Linked DNA regions of Rattus norvegicus. The protein of the gene in region 1 purifies or fractionates together with the protein of each later gene. This does not show direct contact. Links are inferred from orthologs where the notes say so. Each region holds a gene or a part of one and is shown in the gene's direction. Other genes may lie near its edges. The genes, in order: Ccny and Cdk14.

Evidence for each region.
Region 2: the proteins of Ccny (region 1) and Cdk14 purify together in Homo sapiens (affinity purification with western blotting; 3 studies listed by BioGRID and IntAct, with this or other methods). This does not show direct contact. The link is inferred for Rattus norvegicus from reciprocal best matches to the Homo sapiens genes CCNY and CDK14.

What each region holds. Positions count from the first base shown.
Region 1 is NC_086035.1:62,204,930-62,209,477, reverse strand, and holds the start of Ccny (cyclin-Y), read left to right. Parts: upstream 1-1,697; coding exon 1,698-1,851; intron 1,852-4,548. UniProt on the Homo sapiens protein: Positive regulatory subunit of the cyclin-dependent kinases CDK14/PFTK1 and CDK16.
Region 2 is NC_086022.1:29,619,568-29,624,172, forward strand, and holds the start of Cdk14 (cyclin-dependent kinase 14), read left to right. Parts: upstream 1-1,649; 5' UTR 1,650-2,152; coding exon 2,153-2,243; intron 2,244-4,605. UniProt on the Homo sapiens protein: Serine/threonine-protein kinase involved in the control of the eukaryotic cell cycle, whose activity is controlled by an associated cyclin.

The sequences.
Region 1 (4,548 bases):
GTTGAGAACGCAACCTGGTTGCACCCACTTTGATCTTTCAAGGAGGCTGACTGGAGGAAGGACTTTGCCGGATGACATCTTCCATCTTTGATGGAACTTCCTTTGTCTCATTTTATCCTTTGGGAGAAAAGATAGTACATTCTATTTACATCTCACACTGGGAAGGTCAGTATAGCCTTGTTTTGATGCTGTCTAACCCACCCACTCCCACCCTCCTATTCCCCAGAGCTGGAATTTTCTAGAACTTCCCTTTACTGTTTTCTCTCTCATTTGGTCAGCACCACCACTCTTCAGCCATCATTTCCCATGGCATTCTGTCACGTAAGTCTACATATGACATTATTACAGCTAAGCATCGAGCCTCCGCACAGCTTGTCGAGCAACAATGTATGAATACCCCTAAGCGGTGGATGGATTGACTGCACAAGAGTACAAGACAGGTACAGATGGCTAATGTTTGGTATCATTTCCTCATTTCTCCGGTTAGGACAGAGAAGATCATGCACATCCTCCCCTTTACTGACTCCTTCACTAAGATTTTGAACTCCTGATGCTCCCGTCTTTACTGCCCTACTTTAAAGGCGTGACTTACACCTGTTTATGCCTGGTTGAGGATGGTAGAAGGGCCCCAGTACCCTTCACTATTTGGAAAGGATTTAAGTGGCTTTCCTCATCTTAAATCTTTTCAACGTTTATCTTGGTTCACGAGTCAACCCACGCACAAAATCTACGGCAGGTGAAACATAAAACAAGTGTAGTCCAAAAACTCAGAACACTACAGTTAATTCGTCATGACTTCAGCTCCTGTCCCCAGGCTGACTCCCAAGTCCTCCGAAGAGATTGACAGGAGATGAGCTCCTAACTCAACTGGGAACTCCTTCTAACATTAGCAACACACTGGCCGGCCGCCCTCAAGAGGCAGCAACAAGGCCCCCCTCCAGTGCGCGCCCTCTCGTGGCTCCTAGGGCCACTATCTACTTCCTGCCGTTGAGACTCAAGAGCGGAAGAGCGGAGAGCCGCATTGGCGTCTAGAAGGCGAAGACTTTTAGACAGGGTGCCGGCCACTGCGCACTTTCACGCCTGGAGAATCTGCTTCCAAAGCAGTGGGAAGGAAAAGGGCTGTGTGTAGACCGCGGGGTCCTAGCACAAAGGTGGAAGCGAAGCAAGCGGGCGTGAGGCGTGGCCGCGGGGAGGGGGCGGGGCCGACGTGTGCAGGCGTGGGGCGGGGCTCGCGAAACCCGGCCGGCAAGCTAAGATTCACCGTGCAGCGCCGCGGACGCTCCAGCTCCTGCGGTCCCGTCATTGTGTCCGCGCGCACTCGCGAGTCCCCGGCGTGAACCGGAACAGCTTGCGGAAATCGCGGCTGGGAGCCGGGCGCTGAGCAAGAACGCGGTGGGAGGCGGCCTGCGCGGCGCCGCCCGCCATGGCCGCGGCGGGGTGAGCTCTGCGCGGGGCCGCAGTCGCAGACTCAGGCTCCTCCGCTGCAACCCAGGGGCTGAGGCCGTAGCAGCCGTGGCCGCTGTCTGTCGGTCGCCGTAGCCGCCTGCTCGTTGCCGCTGTCCATGGCGCGGCCCCGCCGCCGCCGCCGCTGCTGACCCGGGCCCGGCGCGGTTTCCGCCCTCCACGGGGCGCGGGCGGCCTGCCTTTGCGCCCGAGCCTGCGCCCGCGCCCCGGGACTACCAGCCCGGTGGTCAGCGATGGGGAACACAACTTCGTGCTGCGTGTCGTCCAGCCCTAAGCTCCGGAGGAATGCGCACTCGCGGCTGGAGTCCTACCGCCCGGACACGGACCTCAGCCGCGAGGACACTGGCTGCAATCTGCAGCACATCAGCGACCGGGAAAACATCGACGGTGAGTGGCGCCCGCCTCCGCCTCCGCCTCTGCCTCGGCCTCTCCCTCTCCCTCCCCTTTCCCTCCCTGCAGGACTTGGAGCCTTGCGGTTCTGCTGCACTCACAGAATGGTGGAAATTTTGTTAGCCACGGCTGGGGAGGTCCAGTAGGTCCAGGGAGGGCGTGTGGCATGTGTGTGCTGGGGTGCGTCTACATGCGTGTGCACCCCGGGGATGGCATGGGAGGCCCCAGGCTGTGTGCTTTTGGGATGTTGCCAGAGTTATGTTTAGGGTGGCGGTGGTATTTGCTCTTTCCAAAAGGAATTGTGACAGTCTTTACCTGACTGGAGTTGGCCTGGGTTCCCCCAGACAACTCTACCCCTTTTCCAATTAAAAACTAAACTAGGCCCAAGGGAGTATGCTTGTGACTATATAGGCACAAATGCAAACATATGTACTATGCGAGTATATACAGTCCTGTGCACAAACACATAAATACTTTATGGGTATGTTTGCCTGGTTGAAGTAAAAGGTACACCTCAGAATGTTTAAAAAAGAAAATACCAGTCGACTGTAAGTTAAGTGATCTAGTTTTAGCATGGGCTAGAATTATAGTCCTACGAATTTCAGATTTGTCTGGGCAACTTGTGTATTTGAAAAAAAGTTAAAAGAGGCATCATTGCACCTAGTAACTGGTTTTGCAGTATCTTTCTGAGTATTGTTTTGTAATCAAACTCATTGTATACTGGGCATAAAATACAGTTTATATAATTTCCTACTTAAAAGATTAAATTGGAAATATCTTTAGGCCTTGTTTTTCGTTTTTGTTGTTTTTACGAAAATCCTCACACAAATAATCTAGTTAAATTCACTTATAATTTTTCTTATATGAATGAATTGATAACTGGTATTGACTCATTCTTGTTGCCTTTGGAGTGGAGTATTCCTTGCAATCGTGAAAGGCTACATTTGAATGCTAAGAAGAGTTTTCTTCTTGTTTCTTATATAAATAGTGTCTGCATGTTAGGGACAGCAGCTTTATTAAACAAGTATCATAAGGTTACTCACAGTTTATAGTAAGTTCTGGCACTACGTGATTTTTCTAGTGTTATTAAAATTTGTGTATTCGTGTGTGCAAGTGCACACTCGCACTCGAGAGTGTGTTACCTGTGTGTGGCAGTTGAGGTAAGAGGAAGGTGGTGTATGTCACGATCTGGAGTTACAGGTGGTTGTGCTGGGAACCTATCTCGGGTTCTGTGGAAGAACAAGGCGCACTCTTAATCACTTAGGCATTTCTTCAGCCCCTCTGGTGTCATTTTATGTGTCCATTAGCTCGTTTTTTTTTTTTTTTTTTTTTTTTAGGTGATTTTGAACTGCAGTTTCCCATTTACACATTTAAAAACATGTAGAAGAATATTGAAGTAAGAACTCCCAAACACATAGTAAAACTGTATTTTCAAGGGCAGAGTGAAGAAGTGAACACGTCCATTGTAGAATATTGCTAACAGCGTTGACAAGCAAAAAGCATTAAAGAATACTTTATTTTTATTATACAGGTTTACATTAGGCCATTTTCACACACAGTTTTGCATCTGTTTTCAGGCCACTCCACATAACAGCATTTTATGTCTCTCACTCACAAGCGAGAGAAAATGATTTGCCCTTCTGAGACTTGTTTAATATAATTATTTACAGTTGTACCCATTTTACTTCAGAGACATAATTGCATCTTTATGGCAGAAATGAATTTCATTGTATATAAAACACAGTTTTTTTTTTCCATTCCTCAATTAGTGGGCAGTGGTGCAGTAAGCGTGGATATGCCAGTATTTTTATGTTTTTTTAATTTGTTTTGTTTTGTGTTTTAAACTTTTGAACAGATACCTGTTAGAGGTATACTGAGTCATAAGGTAGGTCTGCTTTCCATTGATCCCCATTCTGACTATCACAGTCTAGACTAGTATCCATTCTCACTGTTAGTGTGTAAAGGGGTTCCTCTTATCTGCTTCCTCACCAGCATTTGTTATTTGTTTCCTTAGTAATTGCCATTCTTATTGAGGTGAGAAGGAAAAAAAAAACCTCATTGTAATTTGTGTTTCCTGCTAGTGATGTTAAATATATTATATTTTTTATTGTCATTGTTATTTTGTTTGTCTGTTTTCGTTTTGGGTTTTTTGTTTGTTTGTGCTTTTTTTGAGACAGGATCTCTGCATGTGGAACTCAATGTGTACGATAGGCTGGCCTCAAACTCGCTGAGCTCTACCTGCTTGTGCTCCAAATGCCGGGACTAAAGGTGTGCATTAACATGTTTGCGTTCATACACTTATTGCAAGTTTCTACCTCATCTTTTTCATCTTTTGGGAATTGTTTCTCTAATTCATTAGACCAGTCTTTGATTGGGTGGTTTAGTTTTTGATCACAGGTGATGAGGTTTCTGAGTTCTTGTGCATTTTAGATTTTAAACTCTGTAATTTGTATACCTGGCAAAGACTCCTCCCATTTTGTAAGTTGTCTCTTCGAGCAGTTATTTTCTTGAGTGTTCTTACGATAATTTTTATCTTCATGAGAATCAGTTGTTCTATTTCTTGAGAGACTGGTGTTCTGTTTAGAAGTATTTGCCTATACTGGAATCTTAAACATTTTTTTCTACTTTGTCCTTAGGAATTTTACCGTTTCAGGTCTTTAAATAAAATCTTTGATCTGTTTAGAGTTATCTTTT
Region 2 (4,605 bases), on another chromosome or scaffold:
GTTCCTCCTTTTGTTTTCAGAAATTTTGTGTATTTCAGAAATGTATATATTTTTGCATATTTTGCCATAGTTTGATATTAAATATGGTTTTCCCTATTAACCCTCGATATAGCAACTCAAGTTTCCATTAGTTTAAAAAAAATGGTCACGAACAATAGCTTTGTATGCAGAGATGGTAAGTTGGCTTTTTGAAAGATTAGAAAATTAGAGATATTGGGGAGGTAGAAAAGATACCATATGCATTCACGTGCAGGTCCATGCACACATACACACAGTGTGTGAGGACAAGCACACTGGGCCTGTGTCCTTACTCAAACTGGCCTTTTCCAAATGGACAGCAGTGTGACCACATAAGTATAGCACTCTAAATTTTTATCTTTGACGATTTTTTTTTTCGTCTTTGTTAGCTGGAAGAACCTATCAGTGTTTGGCTCTCTGTCTCTGTCTCTCTGTCTCTGTCTCTCTCTGTCTCTCTGTCTCTCTGTCTCTCTCTCTCTGTGTGTGTTCAGTTGTAACTGCTAATTTTCTAATTGATCTGACCACGTGATAAATGTTAAAACTTTTTTTTCCTGTATCAGGTCACACTTTGATGCCTTCTGTAATTATTGAGATTTGGCTGTCAGGATCCAACATCCCTGCGTTTAAACTATCTTGACTTTGCTCATGAATTCTTGGCTCTCTCCTCTGTTAGGGGCTTGGCTTGACTAGCTAGCTGCCTTTTATCAGTGGCAATCTACCAAAACCCTGTAATGTGCTCAGCACAGGGCGGAACAAATCCGTGTTCTACCTCACAATTTAAGGAAGGCAGGGGGCTAGTTTTTGTTTTAAGATAAAAATCTTTTGACAAAACACAAACTCCCCAAAACTTCCTTTAAACCAAACAGCATTGTCACGCCCACAAAAGCTCCTATTGCTTACACAGCCAGATGACTCAAGATCACTAACATTTCTATTCATAAGGACTTTGCTGGCCCAGAATCAGTACAACAGGCCTTCCCCCATCTTCCTTCACCCTCCCCTGGGAGACTGACGTTTGGAGTACCTCATTTATTAGGGGAAAAAAAAGACTGTGTTTTCTGCCGGAACTGTTTGTCCCGGGACTTTAAAAAAAAAAGCCACCCTTAAGTCCCTTTTCAAGTTCATTCACTGAAGTAGGGCAAGGAGGTGACAAAAGGTAGTAAATTTACTGATGACCTGAGTATCCCTCTGAGGAATCTCTGAGACATTCCTGTCATCCAGAGTCAGGGCTGAGGCAAAACACCCTGCCTTCTGGAAGTTCCAGGGGGCCATTTTCAGCTTTTGCATTGTACCCCAATGAAAATCAGGCCTCTTCTGGCCTTCGGAGCACCCACTTTCCCTGTAAATTAAAACCACCCACCCCACCCCACCCCAAAAAGTCTCTACTAAACCCGAATGCGTCCCCGAGGCACTCGTGCACCGCGCCCGACACTCCCCAACCTTTCCGGGTCGGGGCCAACAAGGATCGCACCGCACCGGGTGGACAGGGTCGGCCGGGAGCCCAGGGCGGCCGGCCGTCTGTCTGTCCGTCTGCCCGTGGGCTGCGGTCCCGGAGCGCGCGGGAGGAGCGCGGCCGCGGCCGGCGGAGCGCGGGCGGCCGGGAGGGGGCGCCGCCCGGGCGCGGTGGGTCCGGGAGGGCGGCGGAGGCCTCGGAGTCGGAGTCGGAACGCGGCGCGGGGTCGCGCCTGGGTCCCGGGCGCCAGGCCTCTGGCCAGGGCAGTCGCGGGTCTCCGTGCAGCGCCGCCCCTCGGGCTGGGGAACTTGTCCCGCGCGCCTCGCCTGCAGCCGCCTGCGCCTCCTCGGCCGCGCCGCCCCCGTCTCCGGTCGCGGCCGCGCGGCTCTGGCTTACAAAGGAGGGAAAATGCGGCGGGCAGCGGCGCAGCGCGGGGGCCCCCGGGCGGCGGGGATCGCGGCCGCCCCCGGCACCACGTAAGACGCCCCCGCGCGCCCAGCCTCGGCCCAGGCCCGAGCCCCGCAGGCAGGCGAGCGCTGCGCGTCGCCCGCGGCCCGCGAGGAGGCGGAGGAGCAGGACGAGGCGCCGCCTTCCCCGCGCCGCGCGCCCTCGCCCGCCGTTGTCTGCGCTGCGCTGCGCTGGACCAGTTTCGCGAAGTTGCCCGGGCCCCGCGTCGCCCAGATGTGCGACCTCATTGAACCGCAGCCGGCCGAGAAGATCGGCAAGATGAAGAAGTTGAGGAGAACTTTGTCCGAGAGTTTCAGCCGCATCGGTGAGTGTGGTCCGCTGTACCCCGGTGTCCTGCGGGCGATCCCCGGGCTCGCTCCCTCGGTCCCCGCGCCCTCTCCGTGCTCAGGGCACCAGCCAGGCAGCTGCCACCTCCGGGTGAGGTGCGGACAGGGATGGAGGAGGACCTCGGTGGGGACTCCCGGCAGGGCAGGGATAAGCTGGAGGGCTACCCCTCTCCCCCACGGTCTGAGCTTCATTCGTGGACTGTCTCAACCCTCCAATTTGAGTTCCTCCTCCCCGCCAATAGTATCTTTGGCGCCTACAGTGAACTGGAGAGGGGACACCAGGTCCCCACCGCCATCGGGGCTCTGTGGCCACCCAGGTTACTTTTTTTTGTTTTTGTTTTTGTTTTGTTTAAAGAGCGTTGGTATTAGGTGTTTAGCCAATAATGTAGCTTTGGGAATTGTCGAAACGTTGACAGGCGCCTGATGTTTTTTAACGTACTCAACCTAAAGGAAGTGGGACAGATACCTTGGGACCTTTTGTTCCGTACTTCTGGTCCTATAAATGGAGGTTTGGGTGTTCAGTTTGTAGGTCTCTGAACCTTCTAGCTGCTATGGTGAAATGCGAGCTGTGAAGTTGTGGGGGCATTTAGAATAAGTCTCATGAACTTGCACTGTTAGTGCAGTCCAGAGGCTATTGTCTTCTTTAAAAAGCAACCAACCAATTTAACAGAGAATAAACAAACAGCAATAAGAAAAAAGGATCGAGGAATGTTTAGGATACTTAAAGAATGAATCCACATTACAGGCTACAGCAAGATGACAGCTGTGTCATGTGGAAGGGGTTTGTTAAATCTTGAGTGTTGGTGGCAGAGAGCGCCTGTTAACCTGAAGGCATACCTGCTATCTAAACTTTTGTCGCTAACTTTCTTTGATACGGGTAACTGCGCAAAGCAAGGGATTCTTATAAGCCCCAAACCAACCCATCAGAGTGTCCAAGCATACCTTCTGGCCTTTGGTTCACCTGTTATGTTAATAAAAGTTAATTAATTAAAAATAAGCCAGTTCCTTAAAATAAAACCATGATGTGCCAGTGAGTGTCAGCAGTCTGTTTCATAGCTCATTATCCGTACATGCAAACTGTCTTCAAATAAACATGGATAAACGTTTAGTCAAGATCATCATTATCATTATTATTATTATCATTATTGTCAATTTTGTTTGACATTTTGCTTTTCCTGAGAACGCTGTTAAGTTATGTGCAGAATGCACATTCGTCATGCCTTTTCTAATCACATGTATTGAATATACAACGGACCCACTTTTCTGAGTTAGGCACGTGAGTGTCGAGTCCTACATTCAAGTCAAGTTTGAAGCCAAGAGGAGTGTGAGAGTGAGGTGGGGAGCCTGTGCATTATTAACAAGGATGTTTCAGGGCTGGATTCAAAACACCACCCAGGCGGGTTCTGGAGTCCATTAGGGCCTGTTCTACAGCACATTAGCTAGATATTTACTAATGCTGATGATTCCGTTGGAGCCCCTCCAGTTTTCTCTTAAATAATTCATTGCAGTTGAGTCTCAGTGAGAAACAAAGGGCATTAATATAAAAATCTTGTATGTTTAAATAATTTTAGGGTTTGATGGCCCGTCAGTAATATTCCGGTTAACTGCAGTGTTGGCAGATAGATATTATAGTTAATTGGGCTTCCCAGATTATTGAGATTTAGTGATGTGAAAGCTCCCCTTTGAGTCTATTGATTCTCAGAAATGCCTGGTATGATTATGTGGCTTTTATATCCATTCTTTACGAAACAGAACGGCTCAGTAAAGAAAGCTGATCATCTCTTTATTGAAAGAGGACTCAGAAGAGCAGGTCTTACTGTGGTATATTGTGAAAGAAAATATTGACATTTTTAAGTGATTTTTGTTGTGTGTGCACCAAACCCAGGATAGTTATTAGGAAGGGCACTACTGGAAAACGTATCTTCTCCGATTTCCTTCACACTCAGAGGCGGTGAACTCATTTGATGACCGAAGGGTTTTTTTATTTTTGAAGACTGAGAGGCAATGCCGTGAGAGTTTTCTATGGGTTCATATAATTCATAAGCAAGGAATGTGTTCTGTGGTTTTGTTTTGTTTTGTTTTGTTTTTTTTTTTTTGGCACTTGGTGAAATGATGATGCAGTGTCTTGTGTGGCAATGCTATAAAACTCAACAAATGTTTGCAACGTGCTGTCATTATTAGGGATTAGATGGTCTCGACATGATGGTATTATAGGTAGAAAGCAAGGAAAGAAGAAGTGGCCACAGATTTGTAGTATAGCATCCTGAAAACATGGTAGATTTTGGAGTTGGACAGTTCTGGGCCTGGCCCTCTGTTTCCCTCACGTCTTGGGCAACCAGT